Elephas maximus indicus: one gene and its partners. The protein of the gene in region 1 purifies or fractionates together with the protein of each later gene. This does not show direct contact. Links are inferred from orthologs where the notes say so. Each region holds a gene or a part of one and is shown in the gene's direction. Other genes may lie near its edges.

Region 1 (8,011 bases):
TGCTCACTTCTCTATCTCCCCATCAATTTCCAGGTACTGGTGGAGGAGGGTGAGACTTAGCCCAATTTCTTCTGGAACCTCAAAACCTGTATATATTCTTGTTCTCATGTCATTACAGAGGGAGGAGCAGAGGGAATCCTCCCAGCTTTATTAACAGGAGAAATTGAGGTTCAGGGAGAGGCTAAGAGATGTCTGTATGGGAACTCTGGTTTTCTGACCCCCAATTCCCCACCCCGACACCAGCATTAGTCCTGGGACCCAGAAGTCACCATTCCTTATTATCTTTGGGGACACCTCCCCTGCTGTCTTGATCATATTCCCCTTAATTACAGTTTCTCTGCCCTGAGGAGCCAAAGGAGAGAGTGCATCTTTGGGGAGGGGAGAAGGGAGTAGGGAGGTAGACAGGGTCATGACCAGGAACTGATGTGACAACTTCTGACTTCCCTTTCCCAGATTCAAGCTGATGAGGGGAGATATGGTAGCGTCACAACAGTCTCTTCTGCTAGAGCCCTCAGGGTCAGCCTGCCTTCCACTGCTGTCTGCCACAGCCTTTCAGCCTTGCCCCACCCCTACCCCCGCCCTCTTCCCAGCTCCCCATCCTTTGCTGGGATGGACAGAACCTGCTGGATAATGCTGGATCTCTTATGGCCTGCAAACAGCTACCATTTCTCCTCCCCTGATGCTTGCGTTTCTCCTTACCTACCTTCATTTCCACCCTGAGATGTTCTCTTATCTCCGTCCCTCATCTACGGGCTACCCTTGGACCCTAGGGTTAAGAGTTAGAATCCCAGCATTAGACAAGAAAGGGTTTAAGTTGGCCCAGTTCAACTGCCTCATTTTCCATCTGGGGCTTAATAGGTGAAGTAACTCACCAAAGTTTTTATAGATGATTCTTACAAAGCCTGGAAACCAGGTCTCCTCCTATGACCCATCCTGCATTCCTGTCATAGAATCGGAATGGCAAGGTTGAGGCTAGAACCCACATGACCTGGACTTGGAAATGCCCTTTTGATCACTAGGTGTTGCTGTGAGTGAAGTGTGTATGTGTGTGATATGGGGAAGATGAGGTGGGGGAGGTTCTCTGCTATCTGAAGTTTTCTCTTCATCCCTTTGTTGTTGTTATTGTTGTGTGCCATAATTACCCCTCCACAAACCTTAACAGTCAATTCTGTCATCCTCTGTTCCTTTCCTATTTCTCTCTCTCTCCTTCACCATTATTTCTTCTTCCCTAGAGGAAGTAGGGTCTTTCATTTTTACCTCCTCCATGAAACCAGTTAGGTTTTCATATTCCTAGTTCCACCCACCTCTCACCATCTTTTTTTTTTTTAAAACAGAAGTGCAATAACATTTCTCCTAAACAATGAAAGAAATTCTCTATTTGTGCCAGGCTATGTGTAATGGCCTTGCCAGTTTGCACAATTAAAAATCCTTTGTGATATTAAAAAAGGACACTGATGTTATTAATTATTATTACAAAGTATTAATATTGTTATCATTTATCGAATGCTTACTACATGGCCAACACTGCTAAACACTTTATATTCATTTAATCATGAAACCAGCTCTGCAAGGGGTACTGGCATGATTCTCATTTTTTAGATGAGGATCCTGAGGCTCTCCTCTCTTCTTCACATTGGAAACTGGGCAATCTGACTCTAGCACTTTATTCTAATGACCCTGTTTCTTCAAGAGCTCTGCTTCCGGTCCACTCAAACTGTACTGTGGTCCTCCCTGTGTGTTGGTGGAAAGGTGAGCTCTTTCCCCTGTGAGTCCAGCTTCAACCCTCAAGTCTTCAAAAGCAGGAGGGTGGGGTGAAGTGAAGATGGCTCCCCCCAGTGGTAGGGAGCACCCAAGCTCCATTGTCAAGTAGATCCCTGGGATCACAGAGGGGAGGAAAGGGAGAGCCAGGGAAAGCGGACGCGGGTAGGTGGTCAGCTGGTAGATCAAAGGGTGAAGAGGCTAGGAGCTCTGATTCCAAGTCACAAAGCCCTAGGACCTCAGTCCTCTCTGGTCTCCCTTCATGTCTGGCAGCTTCAACAGCTGGAGAACCTTTGGCCTGGGCTGGGCATTGTTTGATGGCAGTGGGTTTGGTTTGGTTGGTTTGGGCATTGTTGTTGTTATTGTGTGCCGTTGAGTCAATTCTGACTCATAGCGACCTATATGACAGAGTAGAATTGCCCTATAGGGTTTCCTAGGCTGTAATCTTTATGGAAGTAGACTGCCTCATCTTTTTCCAGAAGATCGATGACCGGCTGGTGGGTTTGAAAAACTGACCTTTCGATTACCAGCCCAGCGCTTAACCATTGCACCACCAAGACTTGCTTAACCATTGCATCACCAGGGGCACACCAGCCCAGGGACAAGGACTAGAAGGCAGGAGGGGACAGGAAAGTTGGTAATAGGGAACCCAAGGTCAAGAGGGAGAGTGTTGACATGTCATGAGGTTGGTAACCAATGTCACAAAACGATATGTGTACTAACGTTTAATGAGAAGCTAGTTTTTTCTGTAAACATTCATGTAAAGTACAATAAAAAAAAAAAAAAAGAATCTAATGCCCTTTTGGTCTTTGAACCCTGTGAGGTAGATACGATTAGCTCCCTTTTAGAGAATTAAGTAGCTAGCCCAAAGTCATATAGCTAACAAATACTGGAATTAGTATTGGAAATGAGTTATCTGATTCAAGAGTCCTTTTTAAAGTAATACTACAAAACTTAATTTCAGAGTAACTTAAAAGGTTGTCATGGATTGAATTGTGTCCCCCAAAAATATATGTATCAATTTAGCTAGGTCATGATTCCCAGTAGTGTATGATTGTCCACCATTTTGTCATCTGATGTGATTTTCCTGTGTGTTGTAAATCCTCTCTCTATGATGTTAACGAGAAGGGATTAATGGCAGTTATGTTAATAAGGCAGGACTGAGTCTACAAAGTTAGACTGTGTCTTAAGCCAATCTCTTTGGAGATGTAAAAGAGAGAAGCAGGCAGAGTTACAGGGGGACCTCATTCCACCAAGAAGCAAGAGCCAGGAGAATAGTGTGTCTTTTGGACCCGGGGTCCCTGTGGTGAGAAGCTCCTTGACCCGGGAAGATTGATAACAAGGACCTTCCTCCAAAGCCGACAGAAAAGAAAACCTTCCCCTGGAGCTGATCCCCTGAATTTGGACTTCTAGCCTACTGGGCTGGGAGAGAATGAACTTCTGTTCATTGAAGCCAAAAAAACAAAACCCGAATCTGTTGCCATCAAGTCAATTTTGACTCATAGTGACACCATGTGACAGAGTAAAACTGCCCCATAGGCTTTTCTTGGCTGTAATCTTTACAGGAGCAGATCACCAGGCCTTTCTTCTGCAGCACCACTGGGTAGGTTCAAATTGCCAACCTTTAGATTAGCAGATGAGTGCAAACTGTTTGTGCTACCCAAGGACCTTATAAAGATATCTGTAATTTCCAAAGCTTTTTCTTGGATGTGGTCTTGTTACTGGAATAAGATTCTTGCCTCTCACTGGTCAAGAATGAGCAGGTAAGGCACGTAAAGTTTTCCACAGGAGCAAAGCTTTATTAAAGAGGCTTGCAAGCGGAGATGAGGAGGGCCTAGAGCAACACTTACGCCTGCCTGTCTCACAGAACAAAAGACTGGCCTGGGTTTTTAAAAATTCTTGGGGTGCGGGAGATTCATGTTTATTCATAGGCACAGGCGGGGATATGTTAACTATGCAAGCAACAGCTTTCTAAGGTGTCTAAGATGGCTCCTGTCCCAAAGGCCTCTGGGATTCATAGCAGGACTTACTATGGGGTGTTGCGGGATTCGTAGCAGGACTTACTATGGGGTGTCCCGGGATTCGTACCACGACTTACTATGGGGTGTCGCGCTGCACCTGTGCAGTCTCTCGCTCCCTGGGTTCGATTCCTAAGCTGCTGCTGCAGCCCTCACTGCTCTTGGTGGAAGGTCACACAGCAGTCACAGGTGGATGTTCTGCGCATGTCACATGTCGTTGGGGCTGGTTTTCTCCAGCTGCTTCTGAAAAATAGCTTTAAAGAAGTTTACAGGCTATTTTCTGATACCCTGCCCCATTTTTCTGGGGAATGGCTTTGTTTCAGTGCCCTAGCCCATTTTCCGTTACTCTGTTTGCAGTTTTAGTCTCATTAATCCTCAGATAGGCCAGCCATTGTTACCCCATTTAATAAATGAGGAGGAGATGAGGCTCAGTGGAGGTCCTGCCTGAGGTCACACTTTTGGCTGGTGGCAGAGCCAGGACCAGCAGTTGGGGACCTGGCCAGAATGGGGGCGTCAGGGCCCCAGGCAGACCATAAACCTAGAGGTAGGACTTACTCTGAGGTTTGTGTTGGAGGGGTTAATTCCTGAGCAAGTGGGAAGGTGTCAGGGGGAATTCTGGGTAAAAGGGGAGGGTTCCTAAGGAACTCTGAGCACTTACCAAGTGTCAGGTACTTTTTTTGTCCTTTCTTAATAAATCCTTACAGCGACCCTATGAGAGAGGTTATCTCCATTTTACTAGTTGGGAAACAGGCTCAGAGAGGTTAGGTTATGTTCCAAGACCACAGAGCTAAAAAGTGACCAATCTGGAAGAATATAAACAATATCACTGAGTTGTACATGTAAAAATTGTTGAAATAGTGTATCTTTGGCTTTGTATACTTTCACCAAAATAAAAATATTAAAAAAAAAAAAGTTTAAACTATAGTTATGTAGCTATGGGGGCGGGGGGAAGTGGAGAATTCTGTACTGGAACCCATTGAATTTGACTCCAAAGCCCGGGTCTTTCCGTTGCTGTTCCATTTAGGGAAGGCCAGCTGGGGGTGGGGAGGGAGGGAGCTTACTGCACCTTGGTGACCAGCTGGGAGTGTAAAACTGGCGGGCTGGGGGCACAAGGCGACTGGATCTGGAACTCCAAGCTCTCTGACTGGACTACAAACGGTTAAGAACCTTTAACCCCCCCCTCCCCCGCCTCCTCCCTTGGCTCTTCCTGTCCCGCGGATGTTGCAACACAGCCACACTCCCGTCCCCTCCCACCTCTTCTCTCCTTTCTAGTTTTCTCGGAGCTCTTCCGACTCAGGCCTTCGGAGTCCGAGGTCCCTGGACGAGGACGGGATCTCTACTCGCGCCTCAACTTTCGAAGTCCCGCGCCCCAAGGCCTAGGCTCCACCAGGGAACTCGGGACCCCGCGGACCCCAGGAGACCGCCGCCACTGCCCTGAGCCCTGATGGGGGAGTGAGAGGCCACCCTGGCCGGACATGGGCCTCCCCACCGTCCCTGGCCTGCTGCCGCCATTGGTGAGACCAGGGATCCAGAATGGAGTGGGCTGGGGCGGGGCAGAAGGGGGCGAGATCCCGGCTGGCCCCAGCCTCGGGCCTGCTCAACCCAAACACGGTTCACGTTTCCCCATTCTTATGCCAGTGCAGAGAGGGAGCCGACAAGGCCGATTATTTGAGGGAAATGGAGAAGTTTGAAAGGGAAAGAGTAAAAGGGAGCCCTGGCCCCTGATAGCCAAGGAAGTTTGGTGGGGCCAGGGGGCGTCCGGGAATGTGCGGCAGGTGATAGGCCAAGGATGCAGTAGATTTGGCGGGGGAAGGACAGAGTGGGAGAAGGAAGACCCGTCCTCTCAGTCCAGAAGATTCAGGATTCTGTCCCTCTGGTCAGTTGGCAAGGAGCCCTGGTGTCGCAGTGGTTAAAGCGCTCGACTGCGAACCGAAAGGTTGGCGGTTTGAATACAACAGCCTCTTAGCGGGAGGGCAGTCAGCTTCCTAAAGATTTACAGCCTTGGAAACCCTGTGGGGCAGTTCTACTCTATCTTACAGGGTCGCTGTTAGTAGAAATCCACCGGAACGCAATGGGTTAGGTTTTTGGTTTGGTTAGCTGGCTAGCCGGGCCTGTGTTAGGCTATGGCGAGGGAGGCTGCCTATGGAACCTGGTTGAGCAAACCCTGTTAGAGGGCTGGAGTTGGATGGCTAGTGAAGCCGGGAAGCTGAGTCCAGGAGAGGGTGAATTGTGGGGTAGGTTTGGGAGGCTACATAGTGGGGGAGTCTTTGGGAGTCGAGTGGGAAACTGTAAGGGGGAAGGACATCTAAGTAGAGAGCGCCCCAGTGCCCTCCCAGGCCTCCCACTTGGGGCATTTGTGGCCCTTCTGCCTGTGGCTCAGCTCCCAGGCAGGGTAGCCTCTGTTGGAATAACACCTCCACCTCCCCACAAGTAACTAGTACCACCTCCACCCAGTATCCCTGCCCCTGTCCTCCCAGCCCCCTCCCTGTAGAACTAAACAACAATCCTTTGGTTTCTCCTTTTTCAGCTCAGTTTGCGGAAGTTGGTAGAAAGTTGTTTTCGTCACTGGTCACTGGAAAATGTCCCTTTCTCTTCCCTCCACCTTGTTTCAGTGTATCCTTGATCTTCGCTCCTTGTCCTTGACTCATCTTTTCCAAATGCCCTGAGCCCCCAGATTCCCCATCTAGTTGGATAGATTATCCCTGCCTGTGCTGACCAGGTCTTCTCTTTCTCCTGGGCCCCTGCCCTTCCCTGGCCCACCTCTTGCTCCCACCATCTCCCCTGTCGTTGGCATCTTATACTCTCTCTCCCAATCATTCCTCCCTTTTCTATCACTCTCCCCTTCTCAGAGTCTCCTTTTTGAGACCTTTTTTTCTCTTATTCTTTCTTGCTGCCCCACTTCTCTGCTCTAGTGCCATGTTTCTAGACCCTGGGTACCCCAAGCACCTCTCTCTATCATGGTCTCACTGTTCTTCTCATTCGCTCACCTCCTGTCTCCCTACTCCCATCTTCTCTTCCTTTCTTTCATGGGTGTCCTGCCTCCATGATCTTCCCCCAGTTTACAGCCCTGACATCTTCTGTTCTCTCTTTGGGGTGGATCACCTGGGTTTGAATCCTGGCTGTACCATGTAATAGCTGAGCAAGTTACTTAACCTCTTAGTTTGTTTGTCTGTAAAATGGACATAATAGTCATTACCTCACAACGTTGTTTTCAAGATTAAATGGAATAATGTATGTTAAGTACTCATTGATTTATTAAGTGCCTGGGTGGTACAAGCGCTTAATGTGCTGGGCTGCCAACTGGAGGTTTGAGTTCACCCAGAGGCACTTCAGAAGGAAGGCCTGGTGATTTACTTCTGAAAAACCAGCCATTGAAAACCTTATGAAGGACAGTTCTACTCCGATACATGTGGGGCTTCCATGAGTTGGAATTGACAACTGGTTGTTGTCAGTCTTCATTAGGCACTGTTTTAGGCGCTGGGGTTACAGCAGTGAACAGAATTTCTGCCCTCATGGAGTTTAGTAGAGGACTGTTGTTTTTGTAGCTGCCATCTAGTTGATTGCTGTGAGTTGGGGTGCTGGCTGCAGATGAGGTACATTGGCTGGAAATCAAACCCAGGTCTTCCACATGGAAGGTGAGAATTCTACCGCTGGACCACCAAAGTCCACTAAACCAGAAAACCAAACCCATTACCACTGAGTCAATTCTGACTCATAGTGACCCCACAGGACAGAGTAATCTGCCCCACAGGATTTCCAAGGCTGCCACATCTTTCTCCCGTAGAGTAGCTGGTAGGTTTTAACCGGTCACCTTTTGGTTAGCAGCCGAGCTCTTTAACCACTGTCACCAGGGCTTCCAGCGCCCACTAAGACCAAATGAAACCTGTTGCTGTCGAGTTGATTCCAACTCATATCGACCCTAATGCCCACTAAAAAAAAAAATGCCCACTAGGGTGTAGAAAATAGAAAGCACTCAATAAACTTTAGCTCTTCTTTTTTTTTTAACGTTAGCTTTTATATTATTAGTATTATTGGTAATTACTCAGTGAACATCTGTGTCTGGAAAACAGAGGGTAAAGTTAGACTGAACAGATAAAGGAAAGTGCCTGGGGGCTGAGGCTGATCCAGCCCAGGCCAGGGTAGGACTGTTACTGGAAAGGAGCCCAGCTTGGAGCTGGAAGGGGTGGGGAACGAAGGGAGGTATGTAAGGCCGCTTTAGGCTGGCTATGAGCTTT
Region 2 (7,462 bases), on another chromosome or scaffold:
TCCCTGCAAGTGAGGATAGTGAGTCTTTGTCTCGTGTACTTCGGACATGTTATCAGGAGGGACCATTCCCTGGAGAAGGACATCATGTTTGGTAGAGTAAAGGGCCAGCTAAAAAGATGGATTGACACAGTGGCTGCAGCAACGGGCTCAAGCATAGCATTGATTGTGAGGTTGGCACAGGACTGGGCAGTGGTTTGTTGTATTTTACGTAGGGTTGCTATGAGTCGGAACTGACTTGACGGTACCTAACAGCAACAACCTTGTCCTGAACAACATTGTTCATGAAATCAACGTTTATATATATATAATTTATTTTTCATTGTGCTTTAGATGAAGGTTTACAGAGCAAATTAGTTTCTCATTGAACAATTAATACAGATATTGTTTTGTGACATTGGTTGCCAACCCTGCAATGTGTCAACACTCCCCCCTTCTTGACCTTGGGTTCCCCATTTCCATTGGTCCAGTTTTCCTGTCTCCTCCTGCCTTCTTATCCTTGCCCCCGGGCTAGTGTGCCCATTTAGTCTTGTGTACATGGTTGAGTTACGTGAACACTTAGATGTATTAATTAGACTTTTCTCATGGTTGCAAGTGACAGAAATGGACTCTGGCTTCCTCAAGCATAAAAGGAGTTCACTGGAAGGATTTTGGGAGGTCCACAGAAGTGATGGGAAAGGCTGAAGAGCCAGGTGGGAAAATGGCAGGAACCACAGAGACTGGATGAGCAACTGGAGCTACCTACCAAATGGCAGGAGGACGGTACAGGAGCTCACTTTTGGCTTTGTTGAGTGGAGGTGTTGAGTAGGCAGTAGGATATAAAGTAAACGCTGAACTTGGTGAGGCTGTAAGTATGAGGTGGAAGCCTCTGGTAGCCATTTGGGAAGTGTGGGGCAGGATCTAATCAACAATCATGACTAGTGCTACTGAGAAGGTTTTATTGAGTCATAAGTGTTACTCTATATAAGGTAGTAGGGCCCTACCAGGCAACCAGGAGTTTACCACCTCCTGGGAGAGAGAGCTTCACACAATTCAATAGCTTATCATGGGGTTCCTGCTGTGTACAATAAAAGAACTATGCAAGACCGTTCAGAATCACAGTTAACTACCCTGTTTAAGAAAGCAGTGATCGTTTAGTGGTAGAATTCTCACCTTCCATGCAGGAGACCCAGGTTTGATTCCTGTCTGATACACCTCATGTGCAGCCACCAGCCGTCTGTGAGTGAAGGCTTGCATGTTACTATGATCCTGAACAGGTTTCACTGGAGCTTCTAGACTAGACAGACTAGGAAGAAAGACCTAGTGATCTACTTCAGAAAATCAGCCAATGAAAAATGTGTGGATCCCAACGGTCTGAGGTACAACTGGCCATGCCGGACACAGTATGTTGTATACAGGTCACCACGAGTTAGGTCTGACTTGATGGCAGCTAACAACAGCCCTGCTTAAAACACATCCAGGGGTTCTCCTTGATCTGGGGCTCTTGCCCTGGTTCACAAGGCTCTGTGTGAATGGCCCTTCTGCGCCCACACTTTCTGCACTCCGCCTCTTTCAGTTCTTTTAAACGTCACTCTCTTTCCTGTTCCTGCTGCCTGGAGCATTCCCCCTCACCCCTAACTTCCTGTCATCTCTCCCACCTCTTCTTAAAGGTGACTTCCTCAAACAGGCCTTCCCTGAATGCCCAACCACCCTTTACAAGTGCTCAGAGCAGTTTTCCTCCTGAGGCTTGCCATAACCATAATTAAGTACATGATCGTGTAATACGTTGTTGAAGATTTGCCTTCCTGACCAGAGGGCAGGGATAGCATCTCTCTTATACACTGCTGTGGCTCCCAGTACCTGCTCAGTAACTCACCCACAGGCCACGTGAACCCAGGGCTAGGCTGGTTAGAACAGGCTATGGGGTGCCGGATAGACAGAGGTGAACTCTGGAGGCTGGATCCATCTGCAGAGACACCTGGAAGAGGCCGGCCTTTGGCTGGGAGCCTTAAATGAAGGAAGGATTTGGAAGGCAGAGAGTATGGGCCTTTCAGATGGAGAATCCACCGAAATAGAGGTGGAAAAAGCCCTGGCTTGGATTCAGAAGAATCAAGGTCTCAGCTCATTTCCTGGGGACCTGGGCGCAAATGATTTTCTCCCTCTTGACTTTAGTCTCTTATCTATAGAATGAGAGGCTGGCTTATCGAGGACTGTAAATCATAGTACCAAGACACTATTCTGCCATCTCATCCCCGGCAGACAATCTCTCTCTCCCATAAGCCTGAATAAGGATTCAGGATTGCTTTTAACACAGTGTTCTAGGCAAGCATTCCCAATTGATAGGAGCTGGTGATCTGCTTCTGAAAGGTCACAGGCATCGAAAACCCTACGGAGCACAGTTCTGCTACTCCGACACCCTGTTTATCAGGTCTGGCTTGGGTGAAGATCTCGATGAAGTCAGGCTCTCTCACTGGCTCAGTGAACAAGTGACAAGAATGAGCATAGTAGCCAACCATTGCTGTTGGGGAAGAAAGCCCTCTGGAGCACAGGGCTCAGCAACATCAAACATCATCATCAGAAAGGACACAAAGATGCTCCAGTCCAGGGATGGCAAACTCAAATACCTTTAGGGGCCAGCAGATAATGTAAGGCAAGAAGTGGGCCAGACTGATGAATTAGGGAATGGTGGGGAGTGTGGCAAGCTGGAGAAAATGAGAGCACTGGCCCTGGGTAACCAAAACCAAATCAAACCTATTGCTGTCAAATTGATCCTAACTCATGGCAACCTCACGTGTTACAGAGTAGAACGGAGCTCCATAGCGTTTTCTTGGTGTAATCTTTACAGAAGTAGATTGCCAGGCCTTTCTTTTGCAGCACCTCTGGGTGGTTTTGAACCTCTAATCTTTCAGTTAGTAGCCTTGCACAAACTGTTTGCACCACTCAGTAACCTGTCTAAAAGCACTCGAAATTTCTTTTTCCCACTCCTCTTGCCCCCTTCCCTCCTCTCCCTCACTGCATGGGTCAAGAAAAATAGTCTTCAGGCTAAATTTCGCTTCTGGCCAGATTGTGACCTCTGAGTTCTACCTGTTGTTTTTGGAAGTCTAGATCTAGAGGGAACAGTGCTGCCTCGGGCTACACTGTAAGCCAGGCCTGTGGGTTCCCATTTCCTGCTTTCTACTGCAGTGTGGTCATGAAGACTGGGAAACAGGGTAAGGATGGACTGAAGAGGCCAGAAGTGGATCCGAGGATTACGTTTTCAAAAAAAAGATGCTCATTTCATTCTAGGTGATGATGGCAAGGGAGAGGAGTGGCCTGCTTACTACTGCTGTTAGTAATTGTTCATGTGACTTCTTTCATGTACTCATAGGTTTAAATTCCCCCAACCTACAGAAGCGTGTCACTTTCCACTGGGGAAAATCATGTCATGATTACATATACACACGCACACTCACACGCACGGCACCTCCTCCTCCTTCCTCAGTATTAATCATCTTCTCCCGTAATTGGCGTTAAAATGTCAAAGGAGAAGGAATTAATTAACCGTAAAGTGCAGCAAGGCACACCGCAGCACCCTGGGATGGATTATAAAAAGCACTTCGTTAAATATTTTGAGCACTTTTGGGAACCAGAAACCTCTCTTCTAATTCAAAGATTCTTAACTATACCCAAAGTCCTGGCTGGTGGCCAGGGGTGCAGGGCTGAGTGAGGAAGCATACAGAAGTTCCGTCTTCACCACTTTACAGAGACTTCCCCTAGAGCGGGCTAGGTGCTAATAGAGGTTCAGAAGCATCAGAGGTCCCATGCCGAATATGAAGCTTTAACATTTACTGAGCTCCTGCTGCGTGTCAGGAACTCTACAGACGGTATTTCACAACAATCCTATGAAACAAAAGTTACTGTTATCTCCATTTTATAGATGAAATTGGGGCTCAGCAAGGTCATCAGTTTCCCCAAGTCACACGGCTAATAATTGAAAGCGCAGAAGATTCAAACTGAGGTCTGATCCTAAAGCTTTGCTCTTTCATGGAATCCTGGAATCCTATTTCCAGCTCTCTTCTGGAGTGCTCCCCACCCGGACCCAAACTCCCAGCGGTTATAGGAGTTTTGACAGCTTAGCCAAAAGCCTATACCTGAGTATGGGAGGTGGAGCGAGGAAAAGCACGGTGCCCCGCCCCGACTCCAGTATCAGCCAATGGTGGCGCGGCACTCACTGCCTTTAGTCCAATCAGACAGAGCTCCCCGCCCCCATCTCCCTCATCTCCTCCCCTCCCCTCAGCTTTCCCTTTGGCTCGACCGAGCTTGGCGGAGCGGAAAGTCCCTTCAGCCCGCGCCCGGCCGGCAGCCATTGGGGGAAGGTCTGTCACAAGGCAGGCCAATCAGGGCATGCGCAGGGGCGCATCACAGGCCACGATTGGTTAACGGGACGGTTGCCCCTCCGCCTCCGCGCCCTCCCTTCACCCTGGGCGGCTCGGAGGCGGGGCAGGTGGGGGCGGGCCCAGGTAGCAGGTTCGGCTGCGCGGGGGCTGCGCGTCGGAGGTAAATACTAGGGCGGTGGGTGTCGGGTTCCCGGGCCGGCCCGGGATGTGGGCTAGGGAGGCCGGAGAAGGGGCGACGCCCCGCTGCCCGAGGTGAGCGAGGGAGCGGGCGGCCGAGCCGGCGAGCAGCGGCGGCCGGATCCCCTCGGTGCTCCTCCCCAGGCTCCGGGCGTCTCGAGCCGCGGCGGGGGCCGTCCGGCCCTCTGCGCCGACCTGTTACTTGCCCCGGCCCCGAGTCGGCCGGGCCCGCGGGGTGCTGAGCCCGCTGACGTCAGCCCGGACTCCCCCCCCAGCCCGGGGCTCCCCGCTCCGGGCCTTCCCGGGAGGCCTCCTGGGTCATGGCAGCGTGGTGGCCGCCGCTGGACCTCCCGAGAGGAGAGGACTCGGAGGTGGAAGGGGCGCGGAACGCAGTCTCTGGCTTCGACCCCATTTAGAGATGGGGAAACTGAGGCACCGGCCGCTGGCTGGGTCCCCACTGCTATAGTTGGCATCAAGAGCCCCGGGCTGTAATAACTCACGTCTGTGCCGTGGGGCTTATCAATCGGCTTTGGGGTGTTCGCGGCTTCTTTCTAGGAAGAGCGGTTGGGGTTTTGGCCTCGTTAATGGCGTGTTCTGCTTTTTCTTTCAGTTTCGGGGTGAGGATGGTTTTATACAACTGCCCGGAGTTCTTTAGTTGAAAGGTGCGCTGTGTTGAGACAAGGTATTCCTTTTTTTTCCCCCCCGTCTTTTTTTTTTTTTTTCTTTATTATCATATTAACAGTCTGTGGGGACATCGTGAAATTTTGAAGGAAGCTGTTGATTTCGAGTTTGGTGCTCAGCGGGGTCAGCTGCCAGGTTATTCGCGTACTTGGAGTCTTTTCTAGTCAACCCCTTGACATACCCGTGTTTTAGGATGGTTGTCACCGTCCAGCCGGCAAGCCTGTGGCCTTTCCGTCTCCCACCCCCAGATTCCCTGCCCCCATCCTCTCCCCAGCCTTCCCTACCTTGGTTTTGAATGTGGACTAATGAGGAAACTTAAGACGGTTGTTCATTTTCCAATCATTGACTCCCAGAGAAAAAGCCAGGCCTTGAGAGAGGGTGTTTGTTTATTCAGGGGTTGGTTTTCTGCCCCCACCCCCCCAGTCATCTTCATGGCCCTAAGAATTTCACCTGCTAGTCCCCACTGAGTGGTGGGTGGATTTGAACTAGAACAGTATTAAAAAAACAGGAGAAAAGAATTTGCTGGAAATTCTTGTTGGAATTCATGCACTATGCATGTTGGTAACACCCAGAACATTCTTTAATGTTCTGCAGCAAAATTTGGGAGTGATCTTGCATAGAAGCTGCCTTCCTTTGGGTGGTAATTTGTGTGAAGAGCTGATAAGGCCAAGGCACTTGTTATTGAAAACAACAGACGTGAGGCAGCAATGATTTCTGTGGTTTGGCATGCCCAAAATTCTGGTTTTGATTTAAGAAAAGCTTTAACACAAAAAGAGAATGGGATGATTGTCCTACTCATCAAGCTATTAGTATTTTGTTCCTAATTGTCACCCTGTGTTCTTAAATTTGTTGGGAGCTTTTACATTGGTGATGCAGAATTTATAGGCATCATACACGGTTTCAAAGGAACCACACAACAGCTTGTTTTCATCATTGTGGAATTTTCCTTATTTGTTTCTTTTTTTTGTATAAATAAAGTGGTATAAAAATTGACCAGGACTTTATTTATTCAGAGACTTAGTGACATTTTAGGCAAAAAACCCTAGATGCTCCCAACTCCCTCTTTTTTTTTTTTTTTAAGCTGGCAGAAGCTTTTAATCACATAAACAATTAGGATGAGGATATGGGATTTGGGCTCTCACTGGTACCACTTGAGTTTTGCCAAGTCATTCATTTAGTTCTCATGAACTACCATATATGTCAAGTCACTGAACACTGGAATAGAAGGATAAAGGACTTGGGGGAACTCAGAGTTTGGGAGTATGGTGGCTGGGGCCCACTGTAGTGGGATAGTGTTGTTCACGGTTTCTCTAACATGAATATACAAACACAGGAGCCAAATCTTTTTGTGTTTGTTTTGTTTTACATTATAAATCCCAGTTGTTTTCACGCGCAGAATACTTAAGGAACTGTATCCTGGCTTACTTGGGTCACAAGGACATTAAAACTGACTAAATCTCTTTTGGTCATAGCCTCTCTATGCCTGTTCTTTAGCTGTTTAGGAGTACAACTTGTTCTTTTAGTGAGAGATATTCTTTCTGAAAATGGTCATCATTCTAGCTGTCTAGAAGAGTTTGGAAAAAGGCCCGTGTGTCTTTCTTTGATAGTCACACTGACCTTTCTGCTACTTTGCTGTTTATAATTAGGGGCAGTATTTTAGTGTGGTCATTTTTATTCTAGCCTTCTGTGGTTTTGAGAACAAGTCAGGTTATCTCAGGAGATGTAAAGAGTTCTTTAGTAAGGTATAACCTGTTAACAAGAATCCAGGTAACATTTTCTAGATCAGTTAAATAATTGTGACTTACTTAGCTAATGCTGTTTGTTTGTACAATCTGTTGTCTTTCGAACTTGGTAATTCTGATGTTTAATATTTTCTTATAAAACTTGTTTCTCGACTGCCTTCTTTCCACTTCATTGATGGGAAACTGACAAATATATGCACCTTCCAATTTAATTATTTAATTTTAATACAGCCAAATTCCCCTTTACTCAGAATCCAGACCAACAACCAGCTCAGATAGCCAGGTATATTTTCAAATCCATGTGATCCCGACCTGTTCCCTCATCTGGAGTGTTGCCAATATGGTGTTAGGGTTCAGTGCATTATTGTATTTCAGCTGTTTGGCATTCTTCATTCAGTACTTACAGGAATTATCAGGATACTCTCAGTCACTCAAATTTTCCAACCTGCAGTTAGTAGTGTGGTATTTAGATGAGTCATTTGTGAAATACTTATACTCAGCATGAAGTGG
Region 3 (7,410 bases), on another chromosome or scaffold:
AAGTTAGTAGTGGCCATACGTGTCTACCTTGTCACTTTCCTCAAACTTTCCCTTCCTTCTTTTTTTTTTTAATTGTACTTTAGATGAAGGTTTACAGAACTAGCTTCTCATTAAACAGTTAGTATATATATTGTTTTATGACATTAACAACCCCACGACACCTCAATACTCTCCCTTCTCGAACTTGGGTTCCCTATTACCAGCTTTCCTGTCCTCTCCTGCCTTCTCGTCCTTGCCCCTGGGCTGGTGTGCTCCTTTAGTCTTGCTTTGTTTTATGGGCCTGTCTAATCTTTGGCTGAAGGGTGAGCCTCAGGAGTGACTTCATTACTGAGCTATAAGAGTGTCCGTGGGCCATACTCTCAGGGTGTGAGTTATAATTTTGTTCTACATTTTTCTCCAGCTCTGTCTGGGACCCTCCATTGTAATTCCTGTCAGAGCAGTCCATGGTGGTAACCAAGCACCATCTAGTTGAACTGGACTCAGGCTGGTAGAGGCTGTGGTAGTTGCAATCCATTAGTCCTTTGGACTAATCTTTCCCTCGTGTCTTTAGTTTTCTTCATCCTCCCTTGCTCCTGGAGGGGTGAGACCAGTGGAGCATCTTGGATGGCCACTCACAGGCTTTTAAGATCCCAGACACTACTCACCAAAGTAGGATGTAGAACATTTTCTTTATAAACTATATTATGTCAATTGAGCTAGATGTTCCCTGAGACCATGGACCCACAGCCTTCAGCCCAGTAATTTGATCCCTCAGGGAGTTTGGATGTGTCTATGGGGCTTCCATGACCTTGCCTTGTCCAAGTTGTGCTGGCTTCCCTAGTATTGTGTACTGTTTTACCGCCCTCCAAATTCCTTGCTTATTTCTATCTATAAAACGGTATTTGAAGAGAAAATATATTTAGGTAAGTTAAATGCTAGAAGGAAAAGGAATTTTTATATGAAATATTTGGTTTATACAAAGGAATCGAGGGAAAATGTACAGTATGTTACACTATTAAAAATTTGGATGCAGGTTTAGAATAGGGAGGGCCCAAGAGGAAAGACAGGCTCCATTGAGTACCCTATAGACAGGCACCCTACTAGCACTAGACTAATGTGGTAAACAAAATATACACAGTCCATGTCCAGACAGTACTCAGAATTTATCCAAGAAAACAATTATTTAAAATCAGTAATTACAGTTGTGCAAAATGTTGCAAAGAACACATGTTGATCTGTTCCACCCCCAACAGATCTGATCCCAGCTATCATTAACAGTTTGAAGAATTTGGGAATCCTAGTCAGTTTATCAGGGAGCCCTTATGGCGTAATGGTTAAAGAGCTCAGCTGCTAAACGAAAGGTTGGCAGTTTGAATCCACTAAACGGTAGGAGAAAAGACCTGTCATTCAGCTTCCGTAAAGATTACAGTCTACAAAACCTTATGGGGTGGTTCTACTCTTGGTCGCTATGTGTCAGAATCGACTCGTCAGCACACAACAGTCAGTTTGGGGATTGCTTAGGCTGTGGTCTTTAAATTAGGTTGACTGTATCCTTGGGCACTTACAAAGATTTTCCAGTGCATAAGTGGGAGCTCAGATAGTTTTAAGGGAATTGACAGACTGATCCTCAATTTCCATATGTAGTTTTTACTAAAAGCGACTTTTCTGGAAACAAGAACTGTCCAGGTTGCCAAGCTTGTTCTCTCTTCTCACCTCTCCTTTCACAGTAGAGCTTCTTTCTTTTTACAAAAGACAGGTTTACCTGTCACCCATTCTGAGTCTTAAAATGGTATTTTGCCTCTGGGTGTAAAAACCTCTTGGACTACTGGAAATACTGGTGTTGGTATTGAGAAAATGAATGACTCTAATATTTGGGTATACGGTTGCCAGATACACAGTACACCAGTTAAATTTTAATTTCAGATAATCAATGAAAAATCTCTAGTGTAACTACATTGCAATTATTGCATGAAACACACATATTAAAATGTTGTTGTTTATCTCAAATTTAAATTTAACTGGGTGTTCTGTATTTAAATTTGCTAAATCCGACAACCTTGTCTAGCTAACAAACGTTCAATGGTTTCCAAGTCACCAATTTCAACAAAACTGAGTTGTCCACTGATAACTAACCATAATTTTTGACAAATGATCACTAAGTGATTTTTGGAAGATAAAACAGATGTTCAAAGAATTGTGAAAAAATGCTATAACATTTCTTCCAGGCCTACCTACTTATTTATGTGAAAAAGGTTTTCAGCAATTATAATCTGTAGAAATGTATAAAGAACAGAATCTAGGCTGGATTCTGTCATATTCTAGCAATAGGTAATATTCATCAATACACACTTGAACAAATTGCTTAAAATGTAAGCTGCAACCCACCCATTAAAATCGAATTTGTGATAAAGTTTTACTTATTTTTAACAATTACCAAATTTGTAATATATTTATATTGCTTTAAACAATTGTGTACTAAAAGTACTAAAAATATCAGTGATGATGCAAAATAAATTTTTTAAGTACTTATGATGAAAGGGAAGAATTAAACTTCAATTTATATAGATATTTGTTTCAGAGATAAGTGACAGTGTGATTATAAAAGATGCCCACCATAAACATATATTAAAATTCTGGGGGAAAAGTGAAATATTCAAAAAACTGTGATAAAAAAAATTTTTTTTGTGATAGAATATTTCTAATTTTTAAAGAAGAGCTGATTTATTACCTTTTAATGGATGACAGTTGGTGCCAAATGGTTGTGGTATTTAGAATCCATGAAATACATTTAAAGGAGTTCCTGAGTGGTGTAAACGGTTAACATGTTCAGCCACTAACTGACAGGTCAGCAGTTTGAGTCCACACAGAAGCACCTGGCGATCTACTTCCCAAAAATAAGCCATTGAAAACCCTATGGATTAGTGAAATAACAGATTGGCACACAAAATGAAGGATATTATCTGTGAGTATGGTGCTTCAATAAAAAAAAAAACATCTATATAAAACCAGAAAGTCAACAATTACTCTAAAGCAAAGATGAGACAATAAGGGGGCAGGGAAACTAGAATATTGGTAACAGTACAACCAGACTGCAAGTAAAGAGGATGATGACACATTGTGAAAAATATAACTAATGTCACTGAACAACTTGTGTAGAAATTGGTAAATGGGAACCTAATTTGCTGTGTACACTTTCAGCAAAAACACCATAAAATATTATTTTAAAAAAGAAAGGAAAGAAAACCCTACGGAATACAGTTCTACTCTGACAAACATGAGGTGTCCCTGAGTCGGAATCTACTTCATGGCATCTGGTAGTTAAATACATTTAAAAAGGTGCTGTTTCAATTTTATTCTAAAATGTGTTTACATTTTGCAGATCCTTTGCAACTATGACAATATATTAAAAAAAGGTGTTAAGTTAAAAATGTGTGAGGGAATATAGAGTTTTTAAAAATTCTTTTGCTGAGTATATGATTAAAAATGTGTGAAGACCACAAAATGTTTTAGATAATGTTAAGGGTGAATTGAAAATGCTTTAAAAAGTCTTGAACTACGTAGGCTCAAAAGTAGGTTGAAATTTCCACGATAGATAAACAGTCTTTCAGATATAATTCCAACTCGAACTCTAGCTGCTCTGAGCAGTTTCCTAATCCAGAAGGTACCTCAGTCCAGCTGGATTCTGTACTGAGCGGACTGTGAGCCCTTCTGATTTCCGAGGATGATGAAGTCCTGAATAACGTATGTGGGTTGTACCTTTGGCTCATAACTGTCTTTGGTCTACAGGGCCTATTGGATCTACAGACTCTCCCAGAAGCCAGAGAAACCAGACGAGCAATCCCTCTGTTCCCTGACATAGCTAAATATACTGCTTAGACAGGCGAAGTTGATGCAACGGTGGCAGTGCAGTTAGACTCCCAGACTTCTGGGTTTACACGAAAATGTCACTGAAATTAAGAGACTTCTTTTGTGAAACAAAAAGGCTAAAAGGAGGATTTCTGAAAAATAGCCAAGTCTGCCCTGGGACAGAACTTTCTGGGACAGAACAAAAGTAAAAATAATCATAAAGATTTCACAAAGTTTCAGTTTTCTTTTAAATACTGGAAAACCTAACGCTTTTTACATGTAAAGTGTTTGGGGCTTGAAGGGGTAGCGGTGAGGACTGACCTTTTCCAGTTAGGCTGACCAATGATCATCTCTACTCCGCTTATCAGGGTTTCCTCTGACCCAAGAGCAATGAAGCAAAGGTTTTTTCAGTAAATGCCACGCGGATGTGCCACTAGTTAAGAAACAGTGACGCTTTTAGGGCCATGGAAATCCCCGACCGGGTTTGCCAGGCTACTGATTAAGGGAACTATATGTGGTTATTACCGCCGGAGTTCCCCTAAGTCCTAAGAGGAAAGCACCAGTTTACATGCAAACCAGTGAGGAGGAGGGACAAAAGTCGGGGTATTTAAAAGAGCGCAAGGCTCCAACCCGCGCGGAACCGCCCCGGCGGCAGGTGTCACCGAAGCAGACTAGCAACGTCGGTGCTGGAGCGCGTCCACCTCGGGAGAGCAGGTTGGTGGCGACGCGACCCGGGCGGCCGTGAGTGTGCGCGCGTGTGAGCACGCGTGCAGGCCCCACTCCCACCCGGCGCGGGTAGGACCCAGAGACCGAAGCCGCGGCGCCAGGGGAGGGCGGGTTGCGCGGCGCCCGGCCGGGCCTGCTGCTCCCCCGGGGGCTGCAGGCAGCTGCAGAGGGCGAAGGTCAGTGGGGTGGCATGCTCATCAAACACTGCCCAGGCCCGAGAGGCCGGCCCCAGATCAGCTCCCGAACCCAGAAGGGCTTTCAGATAACAGAGCTTTCAGAGCGGGTCCCCGCCAGCCCGGGAGCCTCTTCCTGGGCGTGCCCCGCGCGCTCTTCCGGCCGGTCCCATCCGCAGACGCCGCGACTCTGCGCTTTCCGCCTCGGGGAGGCGCCCGGCTGCAGGGTCCCGGGGCCGGTGCGAGCTGGTCCCTGCGCTGCCCTAGCCGAATCGTACCCCCGATCCGCTTACCTCTCGGGAGCTCAGTGCCAGCTCTACTTTTGGGGTGAGCCAGTGGAATGGTGAAGCTTTGGCATTTGGCTTAATTCGATTATCAAGAGGTATCACCGGGTCTTTGAGGTGACAAATAAGCTTCGGGACAGAGCCTCAAGCAGATCTTTGGCACGGGAAGGACTCAATCAAATATTCAATGAACAAATAGAGGAATGTTTCCCAAGTGGTCGCAGAAAGACCAGGGGGGTTTTTTTTGGCGGGTTTCCTGGTTATCAGCATGGAAACCCAGCAGCGCTCTTAGATCTGTTAAATTGCCGAAGGTATTTAACTGATGTTTTTTTTTAAGTAACTAACAATAACATTACCTTTGTTAGCTAAAATTTATTGCTAACGTTAAGTGTTGCTAACAGTACTATAGGAGCCCTGGTGGTGCAGTGGTTAAGAGCTCGGCTGCTAACCAAAAGGTGGGCAGTTGAAATCCACCAGCCTCTCCTTGGAAACCCTATGGGGGAGCTCTGCTCTGTCCTATAGGGTTGCTGTGAGTTGGAAGCGACTCCACGGTACCTAACAACGACAGTATTACGCGCTAGGGCAAGTTCCGGAAACTTTTATGAGTATTTTTTGCGTTTAGTTCGCACGGACTTAGGAGCAGGTACCACGGTTATCTCCAAGTGACAGTAAGGAAACAAGGCTTATATAGGTTTACCTGTTTAAAGCTCTACCCTTAGTAAGGGGGCACAGAATGGCATTGGAAACCCAAGATGTCTGACTCCAAAGCCTGATGTTAAACCAGACTCAACAAATTTTGTGGTCATTAATGTAACATTGAAGTCCTTAATACCCTGCAAATGAGGGTACTGTAGTCATACAGGGCTCAATCAAGTTTGCTTACATTCACTTCAACAAACAGTCTTTAATAGCTACATACATTATAGGCCAGGCCCTGTGGATGCTGGGGGGCAGTAGAGATATAACATACTTCCTGCTCTGAAAGCTCTCACAGCCTAGGAGGAGGCAGAAAAAAAAAGGCACATTTACTCTCCAGTGTCAGAGATATAGATATTCTGTGAGAGCGATGGATATGCCGAGTGCCCACGAGGGTGAGGATGCCCAACAACCCACCACAAATATTAGAGTAAGAAGAGAAGAAGCTGGAGACCTGAGTCAATTTGAGGAAAAAAAAAAAAAATCTGTTGCAGTGGAGTCAATTTTGACTCATAGTGACTGTACTAGAAAGGAAAGAGGAATTCTAATAGTGGAAGAATTCAGAGAAGCCAAGGGAGGAGAGCATTTCAAAGAGGGTGTGAGTCCCAGTGTCAGATGCGAAAATTTCCATTGCTTTTGGCAGAGAAACGGTGGGAATCATTAGTACAGAGAGCAGTTTCAAGTGGTGCTGACTAAAGCCAGTTGTAGTGGTTTAAGGAGTAAATGGGAGGGGAAAAAGTGGAGATATTAACAATAATCAGTAGAAGTTTGCTTGGCTATGAAGGGAAGGTAAAAAAAAGAGTAGTGGCTAGAGTGTAAAGTGGGATTGAAAGAGGATTTTGTTAGTTTTCATTTTAAGCTGAGACAGACTTAAGCATGATTGTTATGTTGAAGGAAAAGATTCATGTTGAAGGAAAAGATTCAGTAGATACATTAAAAAAATGAGGGGCGATAGGGTTAGGAGTAAGACTTCTGAGGCAGTGGGATAGGATGGGATCCCCAAAAGGGGCAAGTGCCTTTAACTGAGACAGCAAGTAGGTTGTGAGCAAGAAAGTCACGGATATGGGAACATGAGAGGATTACTGCGCAATGACGTCTATTTTCTGTGAGAAATAGGAGGCAAAAGCAATTGACTGAAAGTGAGATGGGGAGTAGTGGGAAGTTTGAGAAAGGTGTGGGAGGTTTAGAAGCGTTGCATAGAGCCACGGGCTAGGGAGCTGACGAGGGCTGAGAAGAACTGCTAAGGGGTCCTGAAGGGCCAGCCAAGGTGGAGTCTGAAGTGGCACTGGCTCCAATCTGCAGGGCCGAGGGTCTTCTCCGGCAGCATTCGGAAGCCTGCATGTTAGAAATGGTTAAGACAGAAGGTTGAATTGATCCAGGATTGGTATTTGGCATATTTTTATATAGTTATCATATATTTATTGCCTAACTTTCTATAAATATGTTTAATTTGCATTCCAAAGCTTCTTTAGGGTAACATCTGTGTAGGGGGTTTGCGAACTCAAATGCATTCAGAGGCCAGGCAGGTGATAAAAATAAGCAGACAAAAGCACACTTTGTTTATATTTTTAACCATTCTTCATTTCAACAAAGAAATGTGATTCTCATTTTTTTCCCCAAAACATCCTTCTCTTGGTCCTCTGTTCATTTTTACTACTCCTCCTAGACTTTTCGTTTTCCTCTTAATTCTACTTAAAGAAAAACAA
Region 4 (7,534 bases), on another chromosome or scaffold:
TTGAATTCAACCCTTCTATTTATCATAGCTTCAAAGTGGAATATGGACCATATGATATGCAAACAGTTATTTCTAATATATCAAAAATAAGTAAAAATAAAGATAAAAAAGCAATGGCAATTAGAAGAAAGTTTGTACGTAGTGACATTTTATATGTGTGTCTGTGTGTGGTTATTTTTTAGTCCTGAGGGCCAAGATAAGTTGTTTTGTTGAGAGTGAATTTATGCTGCTGTGCCTGTCTAGACCTGAATCCTTAGAAGGAGAGGCAGAGGAATTTCAAGTCAGAGTGGGTATGACACTTGAGTGTCTGACTGCACCAGGCCCTTGGCAAACTCCTGATCTAGTTGGGATGTCAAAACTAGAGTTTAAGGCAGGATGTAAGTACAACTATTGTGGTGCTCTGTGTTAGCTCCCCATTTCGCAAAGCCTTGTAAGGTAGGTGGTAGTAGGTGTTCTCATTTCGTGGATGAGGAAATCAAGACTCACAGCTGAAAGTCATTTGTTCAAGTCATAGACAGCATGTGGCTAAGCTAGGAATGGAATTTATCTGCGGTCTGACTCCAGGGCCTGCCTTCTTTCTACTGTGCCATATTGCTTCTCTAAGTACCAATTCCATAGTTCCAAGTTTGTTCAAGAAAAGAAGTTAATGGGGTACAAGCTATTAGGAAAGAGGTAGGACCTGAGCTGGTCACTTAAAATGGGTATGATTTTAGTAGACAGATGGCAGCAGTGGCGCTCAGAGCAGGAGAATGGTATGAGCAAAGTCAGAGAAATTTGCATACCTTCTTTGGGTGATGCTGAGGAGAGCTCTCTGGCTGGTGAAGAACAGAGGGAGGAGGGATTTTGGGGCTGATACTGTCCATTTTGACTTCTTTGTGTCCTTTCTGCAGGGAGGTCCTGGCCAGTGAAGCCATTCTTAATATTCCTGACAAGTCCGATTGGAGGCAGTGTCAGATCAGCAGAGAAGAGGAAGAGACCCTAGCCCGCCGCTTCCGGAAAGACTTTGAGCCCTTTGACTTCACTCTGGATGACTAACTAAAGGGAAAGACACTTTACGAACTTCACAGGTTCATCCACCTGTTTTTAAAGAAACTGCAGTTTCCTATGAGGACTGTTTCCCTGCCTCTCTTTCATGTATTCCCGTGGAACCTGCCCACAGCAAAAGGTCTAGGACTGAATAATTTTTGGAAGAAGTCACATTCTAGGATGAAAGTCCTATGTTAAAAGCATGTCTGTCATCCAGCTCCAAGTACCAGCTTGTGTTTATCAACATTTTAAAAAACATGTAGACTATCAAATAAAATCCAAAGGCTTTTCTATGGTTGAGAAGTGTCTTGTGTTCATGTTACCTGTGATCCTTGAAATGATGTAGTGCATGTAATAGGAGGGGCCAGGGTTTTAGGCCCAGTGTTTCATCCCAGAATCACCCAGGGTGGCTTCTCCCTGAGCAACCTAGTTTTGAGAAGGGACCCAAGGCCTTTGCCACTTTTCTTTTATAGCAGTCATCTTACTGATGCATAAAAGCTCATTCAGTCCTTCAGCAAATATTTAACTCCTATGTGCTAGGCACTTTTCTAGGCTCTGGGAGTATAGTTATGTCCTAACATGGTCCCTGTTGTCCCATAGTTTACAGTCTAATTGGGAAGAGAAGGGACAGATTTAAGAAAAAAAGATGATTTCTGCTTTGGATATGTTGAGTTTTAGATGCCAAAGATTTGTAACGGATGCATCCTGGGTGCTGCTGGAGAGTTCTAAACTCATGGAGATTTAGGTTGGTGATAGGGATTTGGGTATCATCAGGATATAGGCAGTACATTAAATAAAAAGGATGGATGAAAATAAGAGTTAAAGCTCTAAGCTGAGGATGACTACCTGAGAAGTATTACTATTTAAGGAGTACTTGGAGTGATCCAACAAGTACATGGAGAAGAAGCAAAGAGAGAGATCTCAGGAGACTGTCAAAAAAATTCCTCCTATATATTGGGCATGTGTGGCCCAGAGGAGAAATATGTGGCAGTTGAAACACTATGGGGGCAGTTCTACTCTGTCCTATAGGGTCGCCATGAGTCGGAATAGGCTGAATGGCAACAGGTTTATGGCCCAGACACTGGATTTCACTTAGTCCTTACAAAATCTCTACGAGGTGGGTATCACCACTTCCATTTTACACCTGATGAAGCTGAGACTCACAAACTTGATTGTGGAGTCTGGGGCCTACCAGCCTGGGATTTAAAAAAATGAGCTATGCCGTATCCCTAAGAATGAGTACTTTTTTTTTTTTTAATTGTGGAAACTTATAGCTCAAGTTAATTTCTCGTACAAAAACGTATACACATATTGTTTTGTGACATTACTTGCAATCCCCACAATGTGACAGTACACTTCCCCTTTCTACCCTAGGTTCCCTGGGTCCATTCAACCAGTTCCTGTCCTTTTCTGCCTTCTCATCCTGCCTCTGGACAGAAGCTGCCCATTTGGTCTCGTGTATCTCATTGAATTACTCTTCACTTGTATTATTTTTTCTTTTATATTCCTGTCTAATCTTTGAAAGGTGGGCTTTGGCAATGGTTTCAGTCCTGGGTTAACAATGTCTGGGGGCCATAATTTTAGGGCTTCCTCCAGTCTCTGTCGGACCATTAAATCTGGTCTTTTTATGGGAATTTGAATTTTGCTCAACACTTTTCTCCCACTCCATCCAGGACTCTCTTGTGTTCCTGGTTAGGGCAGTCATTGGTGGTCTCAGGCTGGTGAAGACTCTGGTTTATGTGGTCCTTTAGTCTCTTGGGCTAATGTTTTCCTCGCGTCTCTGGCTTCATTCTCCTTTGCTCCAAGTACCCAGTAGGATGGGACCAATTGATGCATCTTAGATCATCGTTTCCAAGCTTTTAAGACCCCAGACACCACTCACCAAAGTGGGATGCAGAACATTTTCTTAATAAACTTTGTTATGCCAGTTTACCTAGATGTCCCCCAGAACTATGGTCCCCAGGCTCCAGCCCCAGCTAGTCTGTCCCTCGAGGTGTTTCGATATGTCCAGGAAATTTCTTAGCTTTTGCTTTGGTCCAGTTGTGCTGACTTTCCCTTCACTGAACTTATTCTGGTCTACTATCTAGTAAGTGAATTCCCCTTCTCCTCCCTCTCCACCCTTGTAACCATCAAAGAATGCTTTCTACTTCGTTTAAAGCTTGAGTTCTTATAATAGTGGTCTCATACAATATTTGACCTTTTGTGACTGACTAATTTCACTCAACATAATGCCCTCCAGATTTGTCCATGTTGCGAGATGTTTAGAGGATTCATCATTGTTCTTTATCGTTGTGTAGTATTCCATTGTGGGTATGTACCATAATTTGTTTATCCATTCATCTGATGATGGGCACCTAGGTTGTTTCCATCATTTTGCTATTGTGAATAATGCTGGAATGAACATGGTGTGCATGTGTCTATTTGTGTGAGGGTGCTTATTTCTCTAGGATATATTCCTAGGTGTGGGGTTGCTGGATTGTACGGTATTTCTATTTCAAGGAAGCACCAAATTGTTTTCCAAAGTGATCGTACCATTTTACATTTCCAGCAGTGCATAAGTGTATCAACCTCTACACAACCTCTCCAGCATTTATTATTTTGTGTTTTTTGGATTACTGCCAGTCTTGTTGGGGTGAGATGGTATCTCATTGTAGTTTTGATTTGCATTTCTCTTGGCTAATGATCACCAGCATTTCCTCATGTGTCTGTTAGTTGCCTGAATGTCGTCTTTGGTGAAGTGTCTGTTCATATCCTTTGCCCATTTTTAAATTGGATTATCTGTGTTTTGGTTGTTCACATGTTGCAGCATCTTACAGATTTTAGAGATTAGATCCTTATTGGATATGTCGTAGCCACATTTTTTTCCCTCTAACTGTAGTTCCCCCCCCCTTTGGTGACATCTTTTGACAAGTGTGTTTGATTTTTAGGAGCTCCCAGTTATCTAGTTTCTCTTCTGGTATTTGTGCATTGTTAGTTGTGTTTTGTATACTATTTATGCCACATATTAGGACTCCAGAATGGGGACGTTTAAGGAGCAAACCAGTGACCCTCTTAGCGCAGAAGTCTTCCTAGTTCTTGAGATTCCCTAACATTTAAATCATCAGTGGCCTTTGCCAGTGCCAGTTCAGCGGGTGACAGGGTTGGAGTATACACGGCTGGGGTGTGGGGAAGGAAGTGTATACAGAGATGCAGACAATCTTAAATTTGAAAAAAAAAAAAAAAAAACGAATACAGGACAGATTAGAAAGTGATTTGAACGGAATGTAAGATCTGGAGAGATCTTATATTTTTCAATATTAGGAAAAAAACACGTGGGCTCTCTCAGCCAGTAACAGACCCATGAAACTTCCAAAGCAGACGACGAACACCCTCCACGCCTCCCAACCCTTTCGCCCGCGGCGTTTTAGAGAGCGCTGGACAACGTGGGCGGGGCTTTTCCTCGGGCAGTTACCGGAAATGACACATATCTCGCGAGAAGAAAGGCGCGCGAGCCTCGGCGTCCCGGAACCGGCCTTGGAACAGCGGCGGTGTATAAGGCAGCTTCCCCTCCCGCCCCATGGAGGGGCCCCCGGGCCTGCGGCCGGGCGCGGGCGGGCCCTGGGAGATGCGGGAACGGCTGGGCACCGGCGGCTTCGGGAACGTCTGCCTGTATCAGCATCGGGTGAGCCCGGACGCGCGAGGGAGCGGTGACTGTTTGTCAAAGCGTCTGTGGAATATTAGGGACTGTCAGTGTGTGAGAGATTGTCAGTGAGAATTGGAGGCAGTGTTTGTGGGCCAGTGGGTATGTGTGTGTGTGTGATATTGTACTTGTGAACTTGGGTGACTGAATCTGAGGTTATATCCGTAGGAACGTGTGATACTGGTCCTGGGCCAGCGTGTGAGATAGAACTATTAGGGGGAACTTTTGGTATGAGTGGCAAGGTGTGACAAGCTGTTTAGTGAGTGTGACAGTGCCTTTATGTGTCTCTTTGTGAGTGTACAATGTTAGGGTGTGTGAGGCAGATGAATGTCAGAACGTGTACGTGTGAGCAGGAATGGGTGAGAAAATGGGGCTACAGGGGGGCTGTCTGTTGGAATGTGCGTGTTCGTGTTTGTGACTGGAGGCCTGTGAGTGTGATATCTGTAGGGACCGGAGTAGACAAGGAAGGCGTCATGGAGGGTCTGGAGTTAGGCCTTCGAAAGCATGGGTTGGCTTTGGAGGTGAGGATGCATTTCAGGTAGGAAATAGTGTGAGGACGAGCTGGTGAAAACGATCAGTGGCTTCACAGGGAAGGAGATAAGATTGTAGGTGGGGGGCAGCTAACATCAGACTCAGGAATTTTATTATGATTTAATTGAGAATGTTTAACCATTGTGGCAGCAGTTAATAATCATGTTCAAGTCATGCATCTTCTGAGATTCAAATAAAGCCATGAATCTTTTCTTCCAAAAATGCACATCCACACAACCTTAGGCCTAGCCATTTGAGGGGGTTCACAGTCTCCTGACACACATTTACAGACCTTATAGGTGTACAGAACCTGAAATAATAATCCCTGCAGTATAGCCTTAGTTTTGCCATCTATAAAATGGGTGTAATAATGTATATACTTCATGGATCCACTTGAGAGTTAAATAAGATAATGTATGTAAAACTACAATGCCTGGCCCATGGTAAACCTTCAGATGTTAGCTGCCAACATGTGTTCTTTTTGCTGTTATCATCCTCATCATCAGTCTTTGGGCTTAAAAAAGGAAATGTTAAGATAAAAGTGGTGTTCTAGGAAGATTATTTTGTGAAAGATGAATTTGAGTTGAAAACTTATGGGCAAGATTGGCACTTAAGCTATTACTAAAATGCCAGCAGTTGGTCTGTGAATGAAGAAGTGAAATCAAATGAAGAAATCCTGATTTGCTGTTTAATGAACATGGCTGTGGGTAGCCCATATTGTGAGGTGGGAGTGAAGAGAGATGGGAGCCTGTCTAAGAGGGAATAGTCATGTTTGTGGGGCAGTTAAAATGTCAAATGTTACTGGTAGAACTGAAGAAATTTTGCAAAGCAGGTTTCTGTTGTTAGGTGCTGTTGAGTCGTTCTGACTCATAGCGACCCTGTGTACAACAGAATGAAACACTGCCCAGTCCTGTGCCACCCTCACAATTGTTATTCTTGAACCCATTGTTTCAGCCACTGTCTCAATCCACCTCATTGAAAGCCTCCTCTTTTTTGCTGATCCTGTACTTTACCAAGCATAATGTCCTTCTTCAGGGACTGGACCCTCCTGATAACATGTCCAAAGTACCTGAGACAAAGTCGTGCTATCCTTGCTTCGAAGGAGCACTCTGGCTTTATTTCTTCAAAGACAGACTTGTTAGGTTCCTCTGGCAATCCGTGGTATACTCCGTATTCTTCATCAGCACCATTGTTCATAGGCGTCAGTTCTTCTTCAATTTTCCGTATTCATTGTCCAGCTTTTGCATGCATATGAGGTGATTGAAAATACATGGCTTGGGTCAGGCATAACTTAGTCCTAAAAGTGGCATTTTGCTTTTAAACACTTTAAAGAGATCTTTTGCAGCCAATTTGCCCAATACAATGTGTCTTTTGATTTCTTGACTGCTGCTTCCATGGACGTTGATTATAATTCCAAGTAAAATGAAATCCTTGACATTGTTAATGTTTTCCCTGTTTATCATCATGTTGCTTATTGGTCCATGTGTGAAGATTTTTGTTTTCTTTATATTGAGGTGCAGTCCATACTGAGGATTGTAGTTTTTGATCTTCATCAATAAATGCTTCAAGTCTTTTTCACTTCCAGCAAACAAGGTTGTGTCATCTGCATATCAGAGGTTGCTGATGAGTCTACACTTCTAATGCCCCATTCTTCTTCATACAGTCCAGCTTCTCGGATTATTTACTCAGCATACAGGTTGAATATAGTGAAAGGATGCAACCCTGTTGCACACTTTTCCTGACTTTTAAACTATGAAGTATTGCCTTGTTCTGTTTGAATAACTGCCTCTTGGTCTACATACAGGTTCCACATGAGCACAATTAAGTGTTCTAGAATTACCATTCTTCGCAGTGTTATTCATAATTTGTTATGATCTGCACAATGGAATGCCTTTGCATAGTCAATGAAACACAGGTAAACATCTTTCTGGTATTCTCTGCTTTCAGCCAAAATCCATCTGACATCAGCAGTAATATTGTTTCATGTCCTCTTCTCAGTGCAGCTTTAATCCTGGCAGTTCCCTGTCAATGTACTGTTGCAACCGTTTTTTAATTATCGTCAGCAAAATTTTACTTGCATGTAATATTAATGATATTGTTCTATAACTTCTGTGTTCTGTTGGATCACCTTTCTTTGGAATGGGCACAAATATGGATCTCTTCCAGTCAGTTGGCCAGGTAGCTGTCTTCCAAATTTCTTGGCATAGATGAGTGAGCTTCCTTCCATCTTCTTTTGATGCTGCATTGTTTAATATTTTTTTCCTGTAGAATCCTTCGGTATTGCAACTCCAGGCTTGA

What was found.
Region 2: the proteins of TNFRSF1A (region 1) and CYLD purify together in Homo sapiens (affinity purification with western blotting; 4 studies listed by BioGRID, with this or other methods). This does not show direct contact. The link is inferred for Elephas maximus indicus from reciprocal best matches to the Homo sapiens genes TNFRSF1A and CYLD.
Region 3: the proteins of TNFRSF1A (region 1) and BIRC3 purify together in Homo sapiens (affinity purification with western blotting; 4 studies listed by BioGRID, with this or other methods). This does not show direct contact. The link is inferred for Elephas maximus indicus from reciprocal best matches to the Homo sapiens genes TNFRSF1A and BIRC3.
Region 4: the proteins of TNFRSF1A (region 1) and CHUK purify together in Homo sapiens (affinity purification with western blotting; 3 studies listed by BioGRID, with this or other methods). This does not show direct contact. The link is inferred for Elephas maximus indicus from reciprocal best matches to the Homo sapiens genes TNFRSF1A and CHUK.

What each region holds. Positions count from the first base shown.
Region 1 is NC_064822.1:63,140,808-63,148,818, reverse strand, and holds the start of TNFRSF1A (tumor necrosis factor receptor superfamily member 1A), read left to right. Parts: upstream 1-5,005; 5' UTR 5,006-5,251; coding exon 5,252-5,290; intron 5,291-8,011.
Region 2 is NC_064839.1:17,266,169-17,273,630, forward strand, and holds the start of CYLD (ubiquitin carboxyl-terminal hydrolase CYLD), read left to right. Parts: upstream 1-4,454; 5' UTR 4,455-4,512; intron 4,513-4,519; exon of another isoform or gene 4,520-4,604; intron 4,605-4,618; exon of another isoform or gene 4,619-5,139; 5' UTR 5,140-5,211; intron 5,212-7,462. UniProt on the Homo sapiens protein: Deubiquitinase that specifically cleaves 'Lys-63'- and linear 'Met-1'-linked polyubiquitin chains and is involved in NF-kappa-B activation and TNF-alpha-induced necroptosis.
Region 3 is NC_064825.1:18,277,198-18,284,607, reverse strand, and holds the start of BIRC3 (baculoviral IAP repeat-containing protein 3), read left to right. Parts: upstream 1-4,409; 5' UTR 4,410-4,539; intron 4,540-7,410. UniProt on the Homo sapiens protein: Multi-functional protein which regulates not only caspases and apoptosis, but also modulates inflammatory signaling and immunity, mitogenic kinase signaling and cell proliferation, as well as cell invasion and metastasis.
Region 4 is NC_064834.1:51,889,269-51,896,802, reverse strand, and holds the start of CHUK (inhibitor of nuclear factor kappa-B kinase subunit alpha), read left to right. Parts: upstream 1-4,516; 5' UTR 4,517-4,582; coding exon 4,583-4,687; intron 4,688-7,534. Other genes in the region: CWF19L1 (CWF19-like protein 1), read left to right, coding at 891-1,035.